Linked DNA regions of Oryctolagus cuniculus. The protein of the gene in region 2 binds, or shares a complex with, the protein of the main gene of each other region. Links are inferred from orthologs where the notes say so. Each region holds a gene or a part of one and is shown on either strand. Other genes may lie near its edges. The genes, in order: TAF1C, TAF1A, POLR1B, POLR1H, POLR2H and UBTF.

Region 1 (4,165 bases), on a different chromosome or scaffold from region 2:
GCTGGATCAGAAGTGGGGCAGCTGGGACTTGAACCCGGTGCCCATAGCTCTCTGCTATGACCAGGAAAGCAGTGGAAGGTGGCCCAAGCGCTTGGGTCCCTGAGCCCATGTGGGAGACCCGAAGAAGTTCCTGGCCTCAGTCTGGCCCATCCGTGTCCGTTGCGGCCATTTGGGGGAGTGAACTAATAAATCTGAAAATAAAATACTATAAAAAATGCGTAGGAATAACTTCAACATAAAAGCAAAATAATTTGTCCACACACACACACAAATCCATGCATAGTTTTTTCACAGGACACGTTTTCTGAGGGCTTTTGAGAACCTGGGAATCGATTGTTCAAAGCAGTGTTTCCGTAGGTGTAGTCCCTGGGCCGGCACCATCATCATCGTCACCTGGATCTGTTGGAAAGGCACCAGACCCAATGGATGAGAAACTTGGGGGCAGCCGGCCAGCCACCCAACAAGGCCTCCAGGTGAGCCTGATGCACGCTGGGGGGGAGACCCACGGGGGAGGGTGATGGGCTCAGACTTGTGACTGACGGTGATTGTCCAAGCAAGGCCCCACGGCACCTGGGAACCCACGGGCAAGGTTACCAGACCCAGCCACCAACTGTACTGAAGTGCACCCCAGCTGCCGCCCTGCAGTGTGAGTACGGCTGCCTGAGGCCGTCCCTGCCCGACCGGCCCTGGGAAAGCCTCAGGTACTCCCGGGGCACTCAGACGAGGATTTAAGGACAATCGGCAGGACACCTGCTGACCCAGACGGGGCCCGATGCGTAGTAGGTGCTCGTGTTTGCTGAGCTGATGGACTAACCCTGGGACACAGGGAGCCCATGGGCTGGCGCTGTGGCCTAGCAGGTAAAACCTCTGCTTTCCATGCCACCTTCCCCCTATGGGCACAGGTTCAAACCCCGGCTGCTCCTCTTCCCATCCAGCTCCCTGCTAATGCACCTGGGAAGGCAGCAGAAGATGGCCCAAGTCCTTGGGCCTCTGAACCCACATGGGAGACCCGGAAGAAGCTCCTGGTTTTGGCCTGGCGCCATCACAGCCATTGCAACCAACTGGGAGTGACCCTGAAGATAGAAGACCTTTCTCTCTTCCTCTCTCTCTGTAACTCTGCCTTTCAAATAAACAAATCTGGAAGGAAGGAAGGAAGGTAGAGAGAGGGAGAAAGAAAGGCAGACAGACAGAGGAAGTCTATGAAGCAGAGGCGGGATTCGAACTCCACTCATCTTAGTATCCAGGATTGAGGCTCCATAGGGTTTTAGTATTTTCAATGCAGTGCGCTGTTCCCTCTCCTCCCGAGAGGTGGTGCTCTAGAGCGCGCATGGAGCCGGGCCGGGAGGCGGGACTTCCTGTCTCCCTGGGAACACTTCCGCCCAGACCCGGAAGACCGTTCATTCCTCTGTGTGGCGGGTCCCGGCGTGAGCGCGGTAGCTGGAGCGACGCTTTCGGGTTCTCTCGCGGCGGGAGGGTCTGGCGAGCGTCGCGCGGCGCCCCGTTTCCCGGGCACCCCGCCCCAGCTGAGCCACGTAAGTGTGTGCGCGCAGGCCCGGGGTGTCGGGGGGCCGGGGCCGCGCCGGCGAGTGAGGGGAGGGGCGTCCGGCTCCCACCGCCGCGGCGGCCTGGGCTCTGCGGTGCCCTCCTGGCGTTCCTGCAGGCCCGGCGGGGCGGGAGGCCGGCGGGCAGCGCGCGGGGGCCCGGCGGGGGCCTGGCGGGGGCCTGGCGGGGGTCGTGGGCGCCCTCGGGCTGCCCGGGCTTGTCTGGCGCCGCGCGGCTCCTCTCGCCCCCGCTTGTTCTCGGCTCTGTGTGCGATGTTGTGGGTATGCCCTAGGCGCTGGAGTGAGAGCCTGCCTTCCCTGGGAGCTGTGGGAGGCTCATCTTGTTTATTTGAAAGTTAGAGAAGTCCCCATCCGCTGGTTCTCTCCCCGGACGGCTGCAGCAGCCAGGCCTGGGCCGATCGGCAGCCGGGAGCTTCCTGCGGGTCTCGACCCACGTGGGTGCAGGGCCCAAGGACTGGGGCCATCTCCCACAGCGTTCCCAGGGGCACGAGCAGGGAACTGGATTGGAAGTGGCGCAGCCGGGACACGAACCGGCGCCCCCGTGGGATGCCAGCATCGCAGGGGGCGGTTTTACCGCTCGCCACACCTACCCGAGCATCCTTACGTATCTGCCACAGGCTGCTACCCGCTCTGGCAGGACAGCGGGTGTTTGGGGGAGAACAGAATTGAAGGGGTTAAGGGAGGCTCCTGGACTGGAAATCCAGGCTTTTGAGGTGGGGAGGGCGGGCCCTGGCGCGCAGTTGGAGAGGGGATGTGCAAAGGCCCTGTGGTGAGGCAGAGCCTTAAGGAGTGTGGTTGGAGCCCAGGCACCAGACATGAGCAGGAGGCTTCTCTGTGTGTGACCCTTGACCCGTCAGGGATACAGCCCCTCCCCCTCCCCGGGAGGCCTGGGGGCTTGGTGCCTGCAGTGGGTGCCTCCACCGTTCCCGCCACTGGCGGCTCCTGTCCCCAAACAGTGACGGTGGCAACAGACCCAGCACCTGCCCTCGGAGACGCCCATGCCGGTGCCCGGATAAACAGTGGGGCCGGCACAGGCCCCGAGGAACAGCTGTTCATTCCACGGGCAAGGGTTCCCCAGCGCTGCGCGGCGGGCCGTGTGCGCGGTGCTGAGGGTGCCTGGCCGCCCCGGGGCGCGCGGTGAACTGATGAAGCCCGCTGGGAGTTGGTCTGCAGGAAGGGGTTCCTGCCAAGGCCCCGTGCCGGCGTTTGCTCCTGGGCGCCGGAGAGTGAGGCGCAGAGCTGCGGCGTGGCTCCGGCGCTCGGGCAGCTGCTGGCCTGAGCGGGTCCCCGCGCCCGGACACGGACGAGGGAGGGGCCTGGCGCCACGTGTGCAGCCGCGGGCCCAGGTGTGGGGGCGCTGCTCTCGCTGTGGTGCTGTGTTCATTAAGAGAGGGCTGAGGTGGCGGCTGCTGCTTTGGGAACCTTGGCCTCTCAAAGCCCTTTGCCACGGACTTGCTCTCGGTCAACGCGTAGTACGCGCCCGGGAGGCGCCGGGGGCGGCTGCTGGGCTCGGTCCTGGCGTAGTCCTGGGACTGAGCCGAAGGGGAGGCGTCTGCAGGTGTGTGACCGGAGGCCCAAGGGCGTCTAGCAGCCGGCCCGCTCCTCCTCCTTCGTCCGCTCGCCAAGGTGTCCCTCAGACAGTGCCCAGGGCCCCTGGCAGCTCTCCGCAGGCTGCCTCCCTCCCTGGGGTCAGGCTCTGTCGCTGGCCTCAGGAGGCTCACCTGGCTGCGGGCACGCCCCTCCTCCGGGCCGGGAGGCTGGTTGTCCACCGTCCGGTAAGGCACGTAGCCCTCCTCGGGCCAGGGCTGCACGCGCGCTTGCTCTGTGTCACCTGGTCCTCCCCGGGGAGCCCGGAGGCCGGTGCCTCCTGGGCCGCGCCGGTCCTGGCCAGTGCCGGGTGCAGGTCTGCTGCGAAGGCCGGCGCTTCTTTTCCAGGATGGACTTCCCCGGCTGCCTCCGCCCCACCTCGTTTACCACCGGCCCCCTGGGGCTGAGCGACGGCCCCGACCTGTCGTTCATGTGCAGCTGGAGAGACGCGCTGACCCTGCCGGAGCCCCAGCCCCAGGACGCCAAGGTGAGGAGGGGCAGGAGACAGCCGGGACTCTGGCCGGGTCCTCGGAGTCCCGAGCTGGCTGGTGGGGCTGAGCCCTCGGGGGCTCATCGGTCAGGAGAGACGGTGTAGCAGGGCAGGCTCAGGGTGGCCCCCTGCGAGGGCCCCTCCCCCTACCGAGTGTCTGTGCTGAGCTGTCTCGGGCTGGCGGGCGGCGGAGGGTCCTCTGGGGCTCCCGGAGCAGGTGACGAGGTCTCCTGAGCGGAGGGCAGAGGAAGCGGGACTCGGAGCGGCCGGTGCGGAAGGGGGCTTCCCTGCTGGGTCAGGGTCACAGGCGCGCAGTCTAGAGCCGGCTGTTGGCCTCCACGTCCCCGCTCCTCGCCGCGCTGACAGCTGGGCTCCCTGTGGCTCCGTCTCTTCAGTGAAGCCATGTCGGAGCTCCCGCTGACTGCAGGGTGGTCGTGAGGGCGGACCGAGGCGCTCGGAGACTGGCGTTGCGCAGGGCCTGGCCAGGGGCGCGCTCTGCTCACGTGGCGCACTCTGGTTGTGTCCC
Region 2 (2,158 bases):
CAAAAAAAAAAAAAAAAAAAAAAAAAAAAAGCCCAATAAACTACAAAATTTTAACTTGTCTTAAGTCTACTAGAGAACTAAAGTCACAGGACAATCAAGAAGCCAGAATTCAAGGAGCAAAGGTCCCTTCAAGGAGAACCAGGCCTGGCTTGCCTTTAGCAGAGTTGGGGAAGAAAGGCAGGCACAAAGCAAAGGCAGACTACAACTATAATCTGAATTTGCTGAATGACAGGAACCAGAGCAAGCAGAGAACTCAGCTCAACTCCTAAGCAGGGTGACCCACCCATGCAGGAACACCCTGACAGAAAAGATGTGTCTACTTTCAGGCATGAAGATGCCTGACAGTCATGAGACACTTTAGATTTATTAGGCACTTTGATGCAACCTTCACTTAATGGCCACAACAATGCTGTGAGCAAATGAGGATAGGTGTTCTGATGCCCACTTCACAGAGAAGTTTCCCAAACGGTCTCTGACCTAAGTTACGCAGCAAGTGAACCTAAGTCATTGGACATTGTATAGACACTAAAACCTGCAGTTACCTGTACTAGACAATTCTATACTCACAAAGTAGCAGAAATTAACAGTCCAAATCACACTTCTGTTCCTTACCATCAGTGTATCAGAGAGCAATTTTTAAGTTACTGACCAGTTTAATAATTCCTTTCTTCCATAAAGCAACATTTTTCCTAATCCTAGTAACTAACTGAAACAGTCACTGAGAACACTAATTCCAAAATAATACAAACCATACCCAAAAGCGAGCTAAAGAATCTCTCTCAGATAATATATGAGAAATATATAAAAATATCTTTTTTGTAGCTATTTAAACACCAAATAAATACAATCAATAACTATCTACTGAAATACTCCCCTATCGCAGATGGCTTTCTAGTGGCCATTGTCTGGTTTACTTTCCTCATTTCTGAACAGATTTTGCAGTAGCTTCATTTTAGTACTTGGCTATCTTCATATTTCAGTGGCACAAAGCAGGTCACAGTTTTATCAGCCAAAATGTTCCATAAAGAAAAGATCAACTTCTTTTAAGAGGTATTCTTTCTCTGAAGGGGAGAAAATATTTCCTCCTTACAGGAACAGGTAAGTAAACACCATATAGTCCTACCGGATAACAATGAAGTCAATAAAGACCATTTTTGTGTTTTCAATAAAGTAGGCAATCTCAGTAAACTTTCTATACAGCAGGTCAAATGGTCACTCTGTGGAAATAGGATGCATCGAGCATCTTAATGCCCCTAACAGCACTCAAGGCAGACCATGGAGACACCCACCATCAACGGCGTGAAATCTCTATTCCTATCCCACAGAGGCTCCTTACAAGCACACTGCCTGTCCCAATTCAGGACTCATTCTTCCAATCTATAATAGTTACTTCCTAAACATCTAGTATCTATCCTTAGGCAGCTACTAGGCAAACTCTAAGATGAATGGTGGTCATACTACATGATTTCAAAATCAGCCAAAGCACTGTCTAGATAAAAAGAACACAAAAATGTGTACCTTTTCCTAACAGTATTCCAGCTACAAAAGCTTTCTCACAGGCCAAAGCTGTGTCTTCTTTCCAATCACTTTTTGCCCAAAAGAAGCTGAAGTGAAAGCCTGGCCACCAGTTTTTCCTGGAATTCCACTCTTCTTGAACCCATGCAAGATGATTCCTGAAAAAGATGTCAAAAGGCAAAGTCAGTCATGGCCATGGGAATAGATCTATACTGTCAGAGTTTACATTTACCTGGAGTCTAAGCAAAGATGACAAGGGGATATTTTCAAACTAACTTCTGAGCTTGGTCATGACATAGCACAGGATGGGCAGTAGCATGAAAGCAAATCCTTCTTTGTTCTCTGTGATCCCCACATCTCATCTTCAATTATAGCAGAGTGGTTAACAGCATAGAATCCTGGATTCAAATCTCAGACCTTCCAGTTATGACCAACGCGACCCTGGGCTGGTTGCTGAACCTGTTCTATGGACCTCAATTTTCTTAAGGGTAATACAATTAATGATACCTATCTCCCAGCACTGTTACTAGGATTAAACTGGCACAGTAGTTTAAAGAACTACTAGCTGCATAATGTCTACTACATAGTAAATATCCCCAAAATGTCAGCTATCATTACTACTTAAAAGCTACTTTAGGAGAGG
Region 3 (4,008 bases), on a different chromosome or scaffold from region 2:
AGCATTATTTGTAATAGCCAAACAGTGGAAACAACCCAAATGTCTACCAACTAGCTAAATAGATAAATAAAAATACAATACACACAATGGGTTTCATTTTTTAAAATGGAAGAACAGAGGCTGTCTATTATAGCACAGTGGGTTAAGCCACACTGCAACCCATATGAGCAACAGTTTGTGTCCTGGCTGCTCCACTTCCAATCCAGCTCCCTGCTAATGTGCCTGGGAGAGCAGTGGAAGATGGCCCAAGTGCTTGGGACCCTGCCACCCACACAGGAGACCCAGATAAAGAGTCCTGGACTCCAGGCTGGTGCTATGGTGTAGTAGGTTACGCCTCTGTCTGTGGGGCCAGCATCCTAAATGGGTGCTGGTTCAAGTCCTGGCTGTCCCACTTCTGATCCAGCTCTCTGCTATGGCCTGGGAAAGCAGTGGAAGATGGCCCAAGTCCTTGGGCCCCTGCACCTGCATGGGAGACCCGGAAGAAGCTCCTGGCTCCTGGCTTTGGATCAACACAGCTCTGGCCACTGTGGCCATCTGGGGAATGAATCATTGGAAGTAAGACCTCTCTCCCCCTTTCTCTGTAACCAGCAAGTGGAAGATCTCTTTTTCTCCCTCTCTGTAACTCTGCCTTTCAAATAAAATAAATACATTTTTTAAAAGAACCAAAAAACAAAACAGTTCTGGGCTCCTGACGGTGGCCTGGGTTGCAGCCATTTAGGGAGTGAACCAACTGACAGAAGATCTCTTTTTCGCTCTCTTTCAAATAAATATTTTTTTTTTAAAGCGGAAGAACATGTTTTATTGGAAAGGCAGACGGTCAGACACAGAGCTCCCATCTGCTGGTTCACTACCAAATGTCTGGAACAGCCAGGGCTGGGCCAGGGGCAAAGCTTAGAGCCCGGAACTCAATACAAGACCGCGCTCTCCTTGAAGCCACAACTCGAGCTGAGTGTCTCCCCAAGTCCGCTCTCCGGCGATCCTTACTGAGCGAGAAGGACCAAAGAGGTTACCAGCTAAATTGGGCTTGCAGCAAGCTTCACTTCCGGTATTTGGGGGCGGAGGAAGGAAGGATTTGAGTGGGGCGGAAGAGAGTTGAAGGTGCGCTCTCGCCCTGTTCTAGTTCTGTACAGTTCTAACCGGTCCATTCGCTCCATGGTTTTGGTTCCAAGTCGACCCTATAACACCGGAGGGCCGAAGGCGGGCGGAACATGAAGAAACTACATTTCCCAGCAGGCCGCGGGCGCCGGGATTCCGGCAGCGACTCCTGCGTGTGGCGCGCTGCCGCTGGCTTCTCGGTGCTCCGGCGGACACATGGATCCGGTTGGCCGGTGGCGGACCCTGCCCAGCGGGCCTAGCCTAAAGCACTTGACCGACCCCTCTTACGGGATCCCGCGGGAGCAGCAAAAGGCGGCCTTGCAGGAGCTGACGCGGGCGCACGTGGAGTCGTTCAACTACGCGGTGCGCGAGGGGCTCGGCCACGCGGTGCAGGTGAGCGCGGTGCCTCCCCCGGCGCCTCGGAGGGCTGTGTGCGCCGGCAGGCTGGCGGAGGAGGGGGCTGGGCAGGGTGCATGAGGCTGGGGGCTCGTGGGGGAGAAGGTCCCGCAGGCGGGCGGGCGACGGGGTCCCGGCGAGGCGCCGGGGAGGCTCCGGTTTTGCTTAGCTTCTGTGGAGTGGATCCTTCGATTCTGCGGCTCAGAATTCATGTGTGCATCATGTGGATTTTTTCAGAACACAACTAGTTTCATCCTTCGGGGATTCCTAATTCACAGATTCATTTACTCACTAAAATTTACTTGTGACTTTCCGTGCGTAGAACAGCAAACATTTGAGTTGCCCGATGCGCGCGTTCCCAGCTGAGATCCAATAAGACAGTGTTCTGCCTCTCGATTTCAGTTCTCAGACATAAACACCTGTTCTTTTTGCTGTCTGGTGCAGCCTTTTTCACATTTTTGTACTGTTTGTTGATAATTTTGCAACTTGAAATAGTGCCTGAAAACATACATTGAAGTACTTTGTGTTGTTGCTGGGCACAGGAAAGCTGTGATGAAAATACACGTTAGGTAAGCTTCATTCAGACCATTCTGCTGTTAAATTTATTATTTATTTATATGAGAGGAAGAGAGAGGGAGCTCTTGCCCACTGGTTCGCCACCCCAAATGCCCGCAGCAGCAGGGGCTGGGCCAAGGCAGGGACCAACTGCTTGATCATCACCGCTGCCTCTCGGGGTCTGCATTCGCAGGAAAGCGGAGTCAGAGTTGGGACGCAGGTGCAGGCGCTCCAGGGTGGAATGTGGGCATCATAAGTGCTAAGCTGAACGCCCGCTGCTCAGCCGTCTATCAAGTGAGGCGCCCTTTAACAGGAACAGGTAGGGCGAGGTTCTGTACTGATCGGCTGATGGCAAGCTGTGACAGAGGCTCTCAGGGACTTGACTTCGTGTTTCCCCGGAGCGTGGGTCAGCGTTTGCGGTAACTTTAAAGAATTTCACTAACGTGAGCGTCAAGGCTCAGCGGCGTTTACCTGCCGAGAGTGCAGCTGTGGCTTGCACGAGTGAGTCTTTTTTTTTTTTTTTTTTTTTTTTTTTTTAAGATTTATTTATGTGAGAGGCAGAGTAACAGAGTTGGGGAGGGGAGGAGAGAGAGAGTCTTCCATCCACTGGTACACCCCCCAAATGGCTGCAACACCTGGGGCTGGGCCAGACCGGAGCCAGGAGCTGGAGAAGCAGATCTTCCTCTTCTTCTTCTTCTTCTTTTTTTTTTTTTAATTTATTTGACAGGTAGAGTTATAGACAGTGAGAGAGAGAGAGATAGAGAGAAAGGTCTTTCTTCCATTGGTTCACTCCCCAAGTGGCCGCTACGGCCGGCGCTGCGCCGATCTGAAGCCAGGAGCCAGGTGTCTCTTCCTGGTCTCCCATGCGGGTGCAGGGCCCATGCACTTGGGCCATCCTCCACTGCCCTCCCAGGCCACAGCAGAGAGCTGGCCTGGAAGAGGGGCAACTGGGACTGGAATCCAGAGCCCATATGGGATGCCAGTGCCACAGGCGGAGGATTAGCCAAGTGAGCCACAGCACCGGCCCCGAAGCAGATCTTCTAATTGCCTCTCCCTGTTTTGACACTACATCCCTTAGACATGAAATATATTTAACATTTCAGTTCTAAAGTACCATCAGTCTTAGATAAAACTGAGAAAAGCTGGGTTGAATTCACATGAGGGCGGATGGCCTGTGTATTCTTAGTCGGCTCCGCCGTCCGTGTTCCTGTCATTCTAACACTAAGCCGGAGGGTTGTTTGTGTCTGGTGGGCTGCCAGTGTGAGCCCAGTCGGAAGGAGGCTTCCCTCTCCTTGCTGTCTGAGCAGGGTCAGACTGGAGAAGGTCGGCGCTGGGGTCAGAGAGCAGGCGCGTTGGCCTGGTGCCAGCTGTATCCTGAGAGCCTCCTCGCTCTGCTCATGGCAGACAGAACAACCCCGAGTTAACGCGTGGCAGCCTGAAGTGCGTAGTGAAGAGTGGACCGCATGTCGTCTTAACTCTCTTCTGTTTGTCACGGTGGCGTTGCGGGCTTCAGTGCTTAAGGAACACAGGGATTTGCAGGAGTCCTAGAGAAAAAGTGCCTTGGAAATGCAGGCCGTGTAATCATGCGTATTGTATTCCAGGCCATAGCTCCCTTTGAATTCGCTTTCAAAGATGAGCGCATCACTCTTACCATCGTGGACGCTGTGATCAGTCCCCCCACGGTTCCCAAGGGCACCATCTGCAGAGAGTTCAACGTGTACCCAGCAGAATGCCGGGGCCGAAGGAGCACCTACCGTGGGAAGCTGACGGTGAGTGTGACCGCGCCTGGCTCCCACAGGGCGGATGGCTTCTGGGGTTCATACAGAATTCTGCCTTCTTGGTGCTGGCGTCTGAGAGCGCCCGTCTTTGAAACCTGAAGCATGAAGTCATTCGATGTAGTCTGCTTCCTAAGAGTGTTTTTCTCTTTTTCACCTAGGCTGATATCAGCTGGGCAGTAAATGG
Region 4 (4,229 bases), on a different chromosome or scaffold from region 2:
GAAAAAAAAGACTTGTTACACTGGATCAGAGGAGTTCCCAGCAATGTAAGATGAAATATTCCAACATTCAAAGGGCCTTTTATTTATGATACTGTGGAGACCTGGCTCCCCTAAATAAATCCTCCAACAACTGAAAATGCTGGGATTAAAAATAAATCAGATGAATTAAGACAAAGTATGCAAAGATGTCTTAGAACACAAAAGGCACTAGCCATGAAAGAAAAAAAGAATGTTTAACTGGACCTTATAAATATTAAAAACTGCTCATATAGGAAAGATATATGACCATAAATATTTTTAATCCACTGGTAAATTCCAAGAAAGGAAAGGCCATCTTCACACTGATAAATCCAGACAGGTAAGTTAAAACTGAAGCCCCTACTACTATGGTGTAAACATGTTTGATATATCTAATACACATTTAAAAAATAAAAAGAGATTTAAAATACAATTAAGGAACTGAGAAGTAAAAAATGATTGATGGGCCACCACCACTGTGGAGTAGCAAGTAAAGCTGCTGCCTGCAGAGCCGGCATCCCAGATGGGCGCCGCTTCGAGTCCCAGCTGCTCCACTTCCGATCCAGCTTTCTGCTATGGCAAAGGGAAAAAAAAAAGCAGTAGAAGGCCTAAGTACTTGGACTCCTGCACCTACGTGGGAGACAAGGAAGAGGCTCCTGGCTCCTGGCTTCGGATTGGCCCAGCTCTGGCTGTGGCAGCCATTTGGGGAGTGAACCAATGATGAAAGACTTCTCTCTGGCTCTGCCTCTCTATAACTCTGCCTTTTGAATAAATTTTTAGACAGGGTGAGGAAAATGGGAGGATGAGGAGAAAGTATAATAAACAATTAGAACTCCAGTATGTGAGAATTAAAAACATGGGAGAAAGACAGTATTAAATGAGATAATGGCTGGTAATTTTTCAAAGTTAATGAGAAATACATCAATTCTCATTTCAGAAAGTCCAATAAAATTCCAAACAGGATAAACAAAAGCGAGCTACATTTTGATATATCCTTTATTTTTTTTTTAAAAAAATTTGATTGAAAGGCAGATTTACAGAGAGGGAGATACAAGAGCAGGGGACTGGAAATGGGAGAGGGAGGAGGTGGGCTGGGAGTGGGGTGGGTATGGTGGGAAGAATCACTATATTCCTGCAGCTGTACTTACGAAATTTGTACTTATCAAATAAAAGATTTCCTTGGGGGGAAAAGAAATGAGGGAGAGACAGAGAGATCATCCACTGGTTCACTCCCCAAATGGCAGCAATACTGGGGCTGGACCAGGAGGAAGCCGGGAGTCAGGAGCTTCTTCCAGGTCTCCCACGTCGGTGCAGGGGCCCTAGAACTTGGGCCATCTTCTACTGCTTTCCCAGGCACATTCGCTGGGAGCGGGACTGGAAGTTCAGCAGTCAGGACATGAACCCAGGCTGGTGTCCCAGGCGGCAGCTTAACCTGCTCCTCCGCCACAGCGCCGGCCCACAACACTCTGATATATTCTAGTGGAACCAGAACACTAAATTCTGCAAACCATTCAGAAAGCTGCTGTTCTTTAAATCCCGTGTGACTAATTCTTACCATGGTCAAGCTACCTTGGCTGCAGTGAACAACTCCAGCCTTCTCTTGTTTTTTAATGAAAAAACAAAATAGTAAACGGTTGAGTTCACTGGATATACAAAAGACAAGTATTTCCTATTAGGGATGGAATCATGGAAGCAAGTGTGTGGTACAAGAATACGCCACTGAACATGTCAAGTGCGCAGACAGAGGGAGGGGAGCGGAGACCCACTTGCAGCTGGTGCAGGTGTAGAAGACGGTCTGCCCCTCGTCGGCTGAGCGCATCTGCCGGGTGTGGTACGCCATTCCCTCGTGGCCACAGCGAGAGCAGCGCCTGTCAACCTGGCCGGGAAGGGGTGCGTTAGGAGGCGGGGGCGCGCCCCTCACTTCCCAGGCTCTCCGCCTTCCTGGAAGTCGGTGCAACACTCTGCGGACCCCGCACTCGCCCCTCCGCTTCCTCTCCACGCCCCTCTCTGCAGCCAGCCCTCCATCTCAGTAACTCACCACGGGTCCCTGGAACTCGGGCCCTTCCTCCGCCGACGCAGGCACGGCTGCCCCCAGCTTGTGGAACACAAAGGAAGTCTGCACGACCTTCCCTTCGAAGTCTGCACGGGGCAGCAAGAAGCGGCTGTGGAGGCCAGCGGAGGGCGCGGACGGCCGCCTCGCCCCCGCCAGGCCTGCCTGCCTCCCTCAGGGTTCTTCCGCAGACCAGACGTCCAGGCGCCCGCTCTAAGGCTCTCCCTCCCCGGTCTCCAAACCGCGCACCGGCCCCCGCCCCTCACCCCGCACGTGGATGGAGAAGCCACAGCGAGTACAGACGACCGTATCCTGAGCTCCGGGCAGGGGCAGGACCGAGCCGCAATCCGGACAGAAATCCAAGTCCGACTGAAAGCTGGGGCAGGTGCTGGCGCCGTCCATGACGGACACGCGACGGAATGCTGGAAAGGGAACGACCAGTTCGTTAGGACACCAGAGAGCCGCACCCTCCCCACGCAGGGGGCCTCCCTTGTCTGCCCCAGCACCTAGGCACAGATAACCCGACCCCTCCTCCCACGTACGTCTCCGGCCTCGGCCACCAAGCAACCAGCCGGCGACGCGGAACCCCGCCAGGGCAGGCGAGAGGGGCCGGGTAGCGCGGGCTAGAGCGCCGGCCGTGCGCAAGCGGCGGGGCAGCGAGCGCGCCGAGGGCTAGAGCGCCGACGCGTCCGGGCGCACAATTTGCTGTGACGTCACTATTCCTCGCGCGCCACAGCGGGGGGTTTAGGGCGGGCAGACGGGCTGGGAGCGCGTTTTGCTGCGTCACTTGCCGTTTGGTCTCGTGGTGGTGGACCGGAAGGCGAGTCGCTGGCACTGCGCCTCCGGCTCCTTTTCCCACCTGGACACAGTAGTGGGGTATTCCTCTTCCTTGTCTCGCATCTGACTCACTGGCTTCCCACTCACGGGGGCCCCCAGAAAACAAGAGTTCGTTGGATTAGAAAAGTACAGGTCCCGCCGTTCCCAGCGGCCCTTTTTTCGCGGAGCAGAGGGTGTAGCTAAGCGTGCTGAGACTCGCTGGGCTCCGCTGGCCGGACGGGAAAGACGGAAGGGGCACGCCTGGGAGGGGGCCGAGGCCTTCGGAGGGGGTCATACACCACAGGGACCCTGGGCCGAGGACCTCGGAGGGCATCAGACACCACAGGGACCTGGCGTTAGGCCGGGGACGCCTGTAGGCAGGGGTTGCTAAGACCTGGGTCGAGTTTGGCTTTCAGTCTTCCACTTGGTCCCTCACCTCCAGTCGTGGTCATCCAGTCGGTGGTTAATTGAGTTGCTCCTTGTTTATAAAACATGAGAATAAGGATCTTTAGAAGACCTCACCATTTTCACGCGTCAGTAGCTTAGACTTGACCTGAAGAAACAGTTTCTATACGAGTTTCCTGGTTCTAGCCCTCCCACCACCATCCAGTTGTAGCTGTTGTGGGGCTCCTGCGTGTGCAAGCTCTGGAGCCATCTCTTTTCTAAAGGACAGATGTGAATTTACTTGGGAGAGAGGCACCTGTCTGTCTTTCCCTGCCATAAAGGAAAGACAACCCTAGTAAAAAGTTAGGAAATGCTGGGGAAATCACAAGCCCCTAATATCACTTAACCATGAAATCGGATGTCATTTTATTTATTTATTTTATTTTATTTTTTTTGACAGGCAGAGTGGACAGTGAGAGAGAGACAGAGAGAAAGGTCTTCCTTTTGCTGTTGGTTCACCCTCCAATGGCCGCCGCAGCCAGCGCGTTGTGGCCAGTGCACCACGCTGATCTGATGGCAGGAGCCAGGTACTTCTCCTGGTCTCCCATGGGGTGCAGGGCCCAAGCACTTGGGCCATCCTCCACTGCACTCCCTGGCCACAGCAGAGAGCTGGCCTGGAAGAGGGGCAACCGGGACAGAATCCAGCGACCTGACCGGGACTAAAACCCGGTGTGCTGACGCCGCAAGGCAGAGGATTAGCTTAGTGAGCCATGGCGCCGGCCATTTTATCTGTCTTAACAGATGGAAGTCTGTTGCTGAAGTTATGATGGTAGACACTTTATTCTCACTTCTCTGTCTCCTTTGAAAACAGGTACTGAAATTATCCCTACATCCTTCTCAGCTTTCCCTTATTAACTTGACATTCAAACCAACCAAAGCTCACATTACAGTCAATAAGTAT
Region 5 (4,024 bases), on a different chromosome or scaffold from region 2:
CAGCGCCGGTCGGTCCCCGTCCGGTCCCCGCAGCCCGGGCGGCCGAGAGCAGAGTGCGGCGGGCCCCGGGCGGGCGCCGCTGGCACGGCCTCCCGCTCCCGTCCCCTCCTCGGCGGGCGGGCCGAGGGCGGTGCCCTCTGCGCTGCTCCGCCCGCCAGCCCATCCGGAGGGGCCGGCCTAGCCCGGCTAGGGTCTGCGACGGGGCCGCCTCCCAGGCTCCGGAGAGGCGGCAGGGGGCGCCTGGAACGCGCCTGCCGGCGGAGAAGGACTGAGAGGGGCGCCCGCGGCCGGGGCGGGGCAGGGCCACTGGCACGTGGAGCCGGTCCACAGCTCTCCGTGCAAGGCGGAGAGGGACCGGAGCCGCCGGGCGCTTAGGACTTCGGGCTCGGGGCTGCAGGGCTGCTAATTCGTGAGAGCAGCTGCCTTCTCTGCTGAGGACTGGAGGCCCAGGCGGGCCTGGAAAGGCCCCTCTGCGGGGGATTCGGAGGGCCATTCTGGGCTCCTGCCCTTGCTCGGGGCTAGCCTCAGGAGGTGCCCCTGCAATACCGGACCCGCCGGATTTTGCGGGCAAGGGGACTGGGAAAGAAAGGCCCGAGGGAAGGGAGTTCTAGTGCCTGGAAGGCAGGCGTCGGGGGTGGGGTGGGGTGGGCAGAGGTCGCTTCTCCTGGCAGGGCCCAAGGAAAACCCCAGGAGCTGCTGACGTCTCGCCGCCTTGGGGAAACGGCCTGCTGGGGTTTGGCTTTCTCTATCAGGGTCCGGGGAAGGAGAGAACAGAGGGTGGGGTGAGCACGGGGTGCACGGGCAGCGTTCGAGATAGCGAGCGCAGACGCGGCGTGCAGGAGGGCGGCAGGAGGCCAAGGAAGGGAGGTTGTGGGAGAAGGGGGCCAGCACCCGGGAGGAAGAGACAGGAAAGTGATCCAAGAGGAGGGCAGTGCTGGGGGAACACGCGGCACACGCTGAGGGGGCACTGCTAACGGGTAGGGCAGTGTGAGGGGATTTGTGGCAGGCGGAAGGAGCGAGCAGGGCCCAGGGGAAGAGGGCAGTGGTGGGGGGAGGGTGCAGCGCCAGAGGAGGGCAGTGCCAGCTTTCCTTTCCCCCGGAGTGATATCCTGGACGGCCCCGGCTCAGGTGACGTCCAGCAGGGCCGAGCCAGCCCCCGCCGACCTGGGGGCCCTCGGTGCCAGTTGAGGGACTAGGCATTACGTCCTGCTGGGCTAGCGCTCTGGGGGCGGAGTTTTGTTGCACCCGTCCCCGGCGCGGACTATGCCCTCGGGGGACACGAGGACCGGCAGGGTAGGGCTAGGGCCCGGCTTCTCTGGGGCAAAGATCAAGGTCTCGGCCTGGGTTAAGTCTCCAAGCATTCCAGGCTTCAGGGCCCGGACTCTGGAGAGGGCGAAGCGGAGCCCCAGCGGAGCGCGATAACCCGAGCCACCTCCGCCAGAGGTGGTGCTTGGGGCGTTCCCGCCCTGGGCGGAGTCACCTGGCTCGGAGACACGCCCTCAATGCGTGTTCCCTCGCCAGCAATCTATCGGGGCGGAAGTTGAGAATCCCCGAGGTGGAGGCGGCGGAAGTGGCTGCCGTACTGCAAGCTGGTGCGCATGCGCTTTCCTGCTGCTCTGCCGCCAGCGTTCAGGCGCCTTTTGCTCTAGTGTCTTCTTTTTCCACGCGAGAGTGGGCTAACTCGTAGTTGTGGTCTCGCTCCTCGCGTTTCCGCTGCTCTCGTGGCCCCCTCACGATGGCGGGCATCCTGTTTGAGGACATTTTCGATGTGAAAGACATTGACCCGGAAGGCAAGAAGTTTGACCGAGGTAGGTAAGGTGTGGGGTTTGGCCGAAGAAACTAACTTCCTCGGGACACACCCCTGGGCTCCGGCTCACGTGGCCTGCCCTTGCGGCAGGTCCTGATGTAGGGGCCTCTCCCAGGAGACCTTTTATGGATGAGAAAGCCGAGACGCCGAGCTCTCCCTGGCTGCACACACGCGGTGCCCAGTGCCATGGTGGTGGCAGGCTCCTGGACGTCTCTGCAGTCGCCTCTCACTTACACACATTTTGCCTTATTTAGTGCTCTCGAGAGTTCCCAGGAGGTAGGTGGTGCCTTCCTCTCCTCCTGGAGGGTAAGTTTGCCACCCAAGGCTGCACCGTGGTCAGTCTGACTTATGAGCCCGAATTCTTGTGTGGAGTCGAGTCTCCAGCTGATGTCAGACCCTCTGAGTTAACTGCGCGGTGCAGGCCAGGCGCCCGAGGTGTTTTTCAAGTCTCAGTTATTCAGTGAGATAATCCCCTTAGCATGGGAGAGGACACCTTTGGTTGAAGAAGTCCCTTGCCCAGACCCAGGTTCTAAATCACCCAGGTAGTGCCTAGAACTCTGTCTTTTGCTGCTAGAATATTTTGATTTGGGGGCAGGATTCCATTCATTTGCCATGCTTTTTTAAAAAATTATTATTATTTTTTAAAGATTAATTTTATTTATTTGAAAGAGAGAGAGGTAGAGACAGAGAAAGGTCTTCCATCCTTTGGTTCACTCCCCAGATGGCCACAACGGCTGGAGCTGTGCTGATCTGAAGCCAGGAGCCAGGAGCTTCTTCCAGGTCTCCCACACGGTGCAGGGGCCCAAGGACTTGGGCTATCCTCTACTGCTTTCCCAGGCCACAGCAGAGAGTTGGGTTGGAAGTGGAGCAGCCAGGATATGAACTGGCACCCATATGGGATGCCGGCGCCTTAGGTCAGGGCGTCAACCCACTGCGCCATAGTGCCAGCCCCAATTATTAATTTTTAAAGACTTATTTATTTATATGAAAGGCAGAATTACAGAGAGAGAGAGGGGTCTTTAATCCGTTGGTTCACTGCCCAGATGGCCACAATGGCCGGAGCTGCACTGATCTGAAGCCAGGCTCCTGGAGCTTCTTCCAGGTCTCCCACGTGGGTGCAGGGGCCCAAGGACCTGGGCCATCCTCTTCTGCTTTCCCGGGTGCATTAGCAGGGATTGGAAGTGGAGCAGCTGGGACTTGAACCGGCACCCATATGGGATGCCAGCACTGCAGGTGGGGCTTTGCCCACTAATCCACAATCGCTGGCCCCTGCCATGGTTTTTGTCCTCCATGCATATCTGGTTCTGAGCGAGCCTGCATTTCTCTCTCTCTCTCTCTCTTTTTTTTAAGGTTTGTTTTATTTATTTGAAAGACAGAGATAGGGAGAGACAGTGAAAGAGGTCTTCCATCCACTGCTTCACTCCCCAGGTGGCCTCAGTGCCTGGGGCTGGGTGAAGCCAAAGTGATCTGGGAGCTGGATCAGAAGCAAAGCAGCCTCTTCCAACTGGTGCTCTGATACAGAATGCCCACCTCGTACACAGCAGCTCTGCCCACTGCACTGCAGTGCCTGCACTTTTTTTTTTTTTTTTTTTTTTTTAAGATTTACTTACTTGTTTGAAAGGCAGAGTTACAGAGAGGCAGAGGCAGAGAGAAAGAGAGGTCTTCCATCTGCTGATTCATTCCCCCAAATGGTTGCAATGGCATGGGCTGGGCTGATCCGAAGCCAGGAGCTTCTTCCAGGTCTCCCACATGAGTGCAGGAGCCCAAGGACTTGGACCATCTTCTGCCTTCCCAGGCCATAGCAGAGAGCTGGATCAGAAGTAGAGCAGCAGGGACTCGAACCAGCACTCATTTGGGATGCCAGTGCTGCAGGTGGCGGCTTTACCCAATATGCCCTGTGCCTGCACTTCTGTGAGAGCACATAAGAGGCCAGTGGATGTAGATCAGGTTACATTAAATAGTCGATTGCCTGTAATTCCCAAACTGGGATCTGTCAGATCTGCCTTTGCCCTGGTAATTACATCGTCCGTCTCTCTGCTTCTCCCCAGTGTCTCGACTGCACTGTGAGAGCGAATCTTTCAAGATGGACCTCATCTTAGATGTAAACATTCAGATTTACCCTGTGGACCTGGGTAAGTATTGAACCCAGAGAATCAACAGAGGCTTCTTGCCGTCTCAGCTATTCTTTACGCCCAGATATTGCTGCTGTTTTCAGGT
Region 6 (4,244 bases), on a different chromosome or scaffold from region 2:
TTCACCGAATGCCAAGGCTCTGTGTGAAGGCATGCACCAGAAAACGAGAAGAGAGGAGGAGACGAACAGGCAAAGGGGGGCAGAGAGAAAGGGCCAAGGGCAAATTCCCTGGTGTGCTGGCCCACAGCCCAAGTCCTCGGCTCCTGACCGCACCAGAGCTGTGATGGGTGCGACCCAAGCCAGTCGCTCTCCAAATGGGAAGGGCGCCAGCAGTTCTGCTGCCCAAGGAATCAATAACAAGCATTCTTATGATTCACGTTCATCCTGCTTTATTCCGAAGCACTTTACCGAAAAGCCCCTTGACCCAGCCAAGAAGTTCAGGGCCAGGAGCCAAGACACCTGGACTCCAGACCTGCGTGTGGCAGATCTGGAACCTTCTTGGGGGTCTAGGTTTCTCCCATTGACCCTCGGATGCCTGGTGAGGCTGCTGTTGTCATTCCACAGATACGGAAACTAGGATCAGGTGGGGTTAAAACTTGCCCAAACACTCACACTATTAAAAAAAAAAGTTAGGACTTTTGATCCCAAAGCCTTTGTCAGAAATAGCAACTGGTTCCATGCCCCGATTTCGGTGCAGCCTGAGATGGCTTGATCCTGCATAAAATGTCCCCAGAGTGAATCAAAGGCAGATCAAGTGTGAGGGCCTGCAGGTGAACTGTGGAGGTCGGAGTGCTCTTTAACCAAAAAAATAAAAAAGAACCAACTACGGGATGCAAAGTCAAGTCCAAGGTCTTGCACAGGCCTTAAAGCTTCAACTTCATTCGCATGATGGTCAGTCTGCATCTTCCTCATGTCCTGCCCGCTAAAAACCCAGACACACCAGATCCCGGCGGCGCCCTCCTCCCGAGGCGAGAACCGTGGCAGGAGTCTTGGGAAAGGAATCTCATCTCTCCCAGGAGGCAGGAGGAATTACCGCGGCGGAGAGCCCGTGCGAGGAGGGAGGGAGGCTGCGCGCCAGCCAAGAGCCCACAGGGGCCCGGGGACGCAGCGGAACAAGACGCGGGCAGCGGCGGGGCCGGGGTGGGAGCCAGGCGTCATGGCGCTGTCCCGGACGAAGGGCCAAGCCGTGGGCCGGCCTGCCGCAAGCCAGCGCCCTCGGCTGTCCGCGGGCTCCCTGCGTCCTGCCCTGAGAACACTTCCCCGGAGCTAAGAAGGCAAAGTCGGACAACCCCGGCGCCGGCAGCGGAGGCCGAGGCCGGACGCTCTGCGCGGCCCGCGCGGCCCGGGTGCCGGGCGCCCCTCGCGGCTCCCCACCGCCGCCGGGGGGCAGCGCCCGCGGCCTGCTTTCCCCGGGCTGGTCGAGCCTTTTTGACAAGCTGATTGCGTGGCGGGGATTGGCTGGTCCGGGCGTGACGCCGGTAACAACAAAGGTGGAGTTGGAAGAAATTAGATTAAGGGAGAGGAGGAAAAAAAAAATTAAAGGGGGAGCTGGCAGGGGACAGGCGGCGGCGAGCGAGGGGGAGATGCGCGCGGCGCGGCCTCCGGTACCGACTGGGCCCCCGGAAGCCTCTCCGCGTAAGCCCGCCGGGACCTGGCTCTCGCTTCCCACCCCGGCCCACTTCCGAAGCCGGGTAGGAGAGACGGCTGCTGCTGCTTTGGAAACCTCCCAGCTCCCACCCTGCCACCCCTCACGACGACCCGAGGGGAGAACTTTTTGCTCGGACTCCACGTATCCTCAGCCCGGCGAAGGTGGGGGGGCGCTGGGAAGGAGGCTCGCTCCAAACCCGGGACGGCCCCGCGGGGCTCGGAGGTCGGGCGAGGAGCGCTGCCGCTCCGGTCTTCCGAGATGGCTCATCTAAGAGCTTCTTTCTGTCTTTTCTTTCTTTTTTTTTTTTTATAACACCCCCCCCCCTTTACTTCCCCCTCGCTTTGGCTTCAGGGTTGCAAAAGCAAAGAGCAATAAAAAAAAAAAAAAAAAAAGGAAAGAAAAAAGAAAAAGAAAAACCGCGCACACACTCAGACACACGCCAGTGGCGACAGGGGAGAGTTGGAAAGGCGCAGGAGAGAAGCAGGAGGCGGGCGGCGGCGGGGCCGGAGCCTTGGGAGCGGGGAGCGGGCAGGTTCCCTCGCAAAACCCCCTCCGCCCCACGGCGCCTCGCCGGCCCCGGCAGGGGAGCGAGGAGCCGGGCGAGCAGATGGAGGAGTGGAGCTCGCTCTAGGCAGCGGGCTTGGCCGGAGAATGGAGGAGCCGCCAAGCGACCGGCTGATTGGAAGAGAAACGCAGAGCGATGGAGGCGGGGGTAGGAGGACGATTTCTCTGCGGGGACTGGCGGCGGCGTACACGCCCGGGTCGGGCGCTGCAGAGCTTGGCTGGCTTTCAACCCGCGCTCGCCGGCTCCAGCCCCGCGCGCCCCCACCCCCGGCCCTCCCGGCGGCTCCGCAGGTGAGTGCGAGCTGGGGGCAAAAAGACCCAAAGTCTCCGCACTCCCGCCCTGCAAAAAAAAAAAAAAAAAAAAAAGAGGAAAAAAATTTTTTTCCTTTTTTTCCCCCCAATTTTCGCGCAGCCCCGAGAGCGGTGGGAGGGAAGGGGTGAGGCTGAGCCACCCGGAGGAGGCGGAGGGGCCAGGCGAGGCCGCGGTGGCCCGGGAGGCGGCGGCGCCGAGGCGGCTCTGACGGGCGAGCGCTCGGAGCGGCGCTGCGCTGCGCCGAGGCGGGCGGGCGGAGCGGGGCGGGCGGAGCGCGGCGCGTGGGGCTCGCCATTAGCCGTCGCTCCGCTTCGCCATCTCGGGCTTTGTCTGGCGACTCGCTGCCCCGGAGTCGGCTGCGGCGGAGCTGCGGCTCGGCTCTCCGGCCCGCCGCGCCCCCAGGTGTCCCCGGCCCGCGCTCCCATCCACACGCTCGGTAAGTGAGCCCCGGCGCCACGGATTTCGGGGGAGAGGGGTTGCTCCGAGCGGCCGCGCCGCCGATCTCCATGCGCCCAGGCAGGCCTGGGGAGCCATGCCGGGCTGGATTGAACCGGCTCCCACCGTGGCTCCTCGCCGCTTCCTGGGTGTAAGGAGCGAAGGGAATTTCTTTTTCCCCCTTGGCAAGGATATTTTGCTTTTCGAGTTTCGCGTGTGCCGTTCGGCGGCGAAGTAGGCGCCGAAGCTTGGCACCGCGATCGGCACCCCGAGCGAGTAGCCACGCTCTGGGGAAGGTGGGCGCGAACCGCCCGCGCCGGGAGGCGGGAGAGGGCCGGCTTGGAAGGCCGGATCTGGGCTGGGAGGCCGTGGAGGAGAGGTCCGGGGCTGCACTGCGGGCACCCCCGAGCCTCTTCGGCCGCCGGGGGGCCCTCCGGGCACCCTCTCCGCGGCCGCGCCTCGGCCCTCCCTCCCGCGCCGGCCGAGCCTGCTAGTTCCCCCGCGGGTCTGGCGAGGTCGCTCTCGGCGCCCGCCCGCCCGCCCGCCTCGGCTCCGAGCCCCGCCGCCATCCGGGCGGCTGCGTGTCTCCCTGCCCCGGCCCCCCCCCCTCCCCGGCGGCAGCAGCAGCAGCAGCCGCCGCCGCCGCCACCGCCACCACCACCACCACTACCACCACCCCCCTCCCCTCCTTCCTTCCCTCCGCCTCGGCCGCCCGGGTCCCCCCAGCTCCCGCCCCTCCTCCCAGCTGCCCCCCGCGGAGCCCGCCCGGGCAGGCTGTGGGAGGGAGCGGAGCCGGCGAGGCGGGCGGGCTGGCGCTCGCTCCCCGGGGGTCGGTGTGCGCTCTACGGGGAAGGACGCGCTCGCTGCCCCGCTTCTCCCGCCCCCCCTCCCGCTCCTCCTCCTCCCTTCTCCCTCCTCCTCCCCGCTCCGGCGGCGGAGGCTGCGGCGGCGGCGGGGGGTGTGCGAGCTGAGGCCGGGGCCGGCGGGCGGGCGGCGGGCGGGCTGCCTGCAGGCGGAGGGCGCTGTGCTTTGTGCTTTTCGCCGCGAGGAGCAGCAGGCAGCAGCTACAGCCGCCGCCGCCACAGCAGCAGCAGCAGCCGCCGCCCCAGCGCCGCCACCGCGCCCGGAGGAGGAGCCGCTGCCGCCGCGGGAGGGAGCTGCGGCTGTGCCCGGCCGAGCGGGGGAGGGCGCCGCCGCTCAGAGCCGGGGAGGGAGCCGCCGGAGCGGGAAGCCCGGAGGTCGCGCTGCGCCGGGTAACCGAGGCGGCTGAGGGCGCGCGCTGGGGGTCGGGGCCGGGGCGGCCAGGGAGAGACCCGCGGGAGCGGCGGACACCCCGGCGCAGACCCGGGGCGGCCTCCGAGCAGGGTCTGGACGCGAGCAGACCGGGGCACTGGGGAGGACGCC

Evidence for each region.
Region 1: TAF1A (region 2) and TAF1C share a complex: the UniProt entries of both Homo sapiens proteins name them as parts of the transcription factor SL1/TIF-IB complex. The link is inferred for Oryctolagus cuniculus from reciprocal best matches to the Homo sapiens genes TAF1A and TAF1C.
Region 3: TAF1A (region 2) and POLR1B share a complex: the UniProt entries of both Homo sapiens proteins name them as parts of the pol I pre-initiation complex. The link is inferred for Oryctolagus cuniculus from reciprocal best matches to the Homo sapiens genes TAF1A and POLR1B.
Region 4: TAF1A (region 2) and POLR1H share a complex: the UniProt entries of both Homo sapiens proteins name them as parts of the pol I pre-initiation complex. The link is inferred for Oryctolagus cuniculus from reciprocal best matches to the Homo sapiens genes TAF1A and POLR1H.
Region 5: TAF1A (region 2) and POLR2H share a complex: the UniProt entries of both Homo sapiens proteins name them as parts of the pol I pre-initiation complex. The link is inferred for Oryctolagus cuniculus from reciprocal best matches to the Homo sapiens genes TAF1A and POLR2H.
Region 6: TAF1A (region 2) and UBTF share a complex: the UniProt entries of both Homo sapiens proteins name them as parts of the pol I pre-initiation complex. The link is inferred for Oryctolagus cuniculus from reciprocal best matches to the Homo sapiens genes TAF1A and UBTF.

The regions. Positions count from the first base shown.
Region 1 is NC_091449.1:65,920,049-65,924,213, reverse strand, and holds the start of TAF1C (TATA box-binding protein-associated factor RNA polymerase I subunit C), read left to right. Parts: upstream 1-1,365; 5' UTR 1,366-1,532; intron 1,533-3,497; 5' UTR 3,498-3,498; coding exon 3,499-3,636; intron 3,637-4,165. UniProt on the Homo sapiens protein: Component of the transcription factor SL1/TIF-IB complex, which is involved in the assembly of the PIC (pre-initiation complex) during RNA polymerase I-dependent transcription.
Region 2 is NC_091444.1:36,937,653-36,939,810, forward strand, and holds part of TAF1A (TATA box-binding protein-associated factor RNA polymerase I subunit A), read right to left. Parts: intron 1,674-2,158; coding exon 1,519-1,673; intron 1-1,518. UniProt on the Homo sapiens protein: Component of the transcription factor SL1/TIF-IB complex, which is involved in the assembly of the PIC (pre-initiation complex) during RNA polymerase I-dependent transcription.
Region 3 is NC_091433.1:113,613,230-113,617,237, forward strand, and holds the start of POLR1B (DNA-directed RNA polymerase I subunit RPA2), read left to right. Parts: upstream 1-1,208; 5' UTR 1,209-1,311; coding exon 1,312-1,488; intron 1,489-3,647; coding exon 3,648-3,815; intron 3,816-3,982; coding exon 3,983-4,008. UniProt on the Homo sapiens protein: Catalytic core component of RNA polymerase I (Pol I), a DNA-dependent RNA polymerase which synthesizes ribosomal RNA precursors using the four ribonucleoside triphosphates as substrates.
Region 4 is NC_091436.1:140,424,720-140,428,948, forward strand, and holds the start of POLR1H (DNA-directed RNA polymerase I subunit RPA12), read right to left. Parts: upstream 2,801-4,229; 5' UTR 2,611-2,800; exon of another isoform or gene 2,575-2,610; intron 2,491-2,574; 5' UTR 2,471-2,490; coding exon 2,335-2,470; intron 2,158-2,334; coding exon 2,057-2,157; intron 1,895-2,056; coding exon 1,785-1,894; intron 1-1,784. UniProt on the Homo sapiens protein: Core component of RNA polymerase I (Pol I), a DNA-dependent RNA polymerase which synthesizes ribosomal RNA precursors using the four ribonucleoside triphosphates as substrates. Can mediate Pol I proofreading of the nascent RNA transcript.
Region 5 is NC_091435.1:93,932,008-93,936,031, forward strand, and holds the start of POLR2H (DNA-directed RNA polymerases I, II, and III subunit RPABC3), read left to right. Parts: upstream 1-1,224; 5' UTR 1,225-1,735; coding exon 1,736-1,808; intron 1,809-3,855; coding exon 3,856-3,939; intron 3,940-4,022; coding exon 4,023-4,024. UniProt on the Homo sapiens protein: DNA-dependent RNA polymerase catalyzes the transcription of DNA into RNA using the four ribonucleoside triphosphates as substrates.
Region 6 is NC_091448.1:19,038,515-19,042,758, forward strand, and holds the start of UBTF (nucleolar transcription factor 1), read left to right. Parts: upstream 1-1,444; 5' UTR 1,445-1,689; intron 1,690-2,253; exon of another isoform or gene 2,254-2,383; intron 2,384-2,702; exon of another isoform or gene 2,703-2,841; intron 2,842-3,904; coding exon of another isoform or gene 3,905-4,244. Other genes in the region: basic salivary proline-rich protein 2-like, read right to left, coding at 3,905-4,244. UniProt on the Homo sapiens protein: Recognizes the ribosomal RNA gene promoter and activates transcription mediated by RNA polymerase I (Pol I) through cooperative interactions with the transcription factor SL1/TIF-IB complex.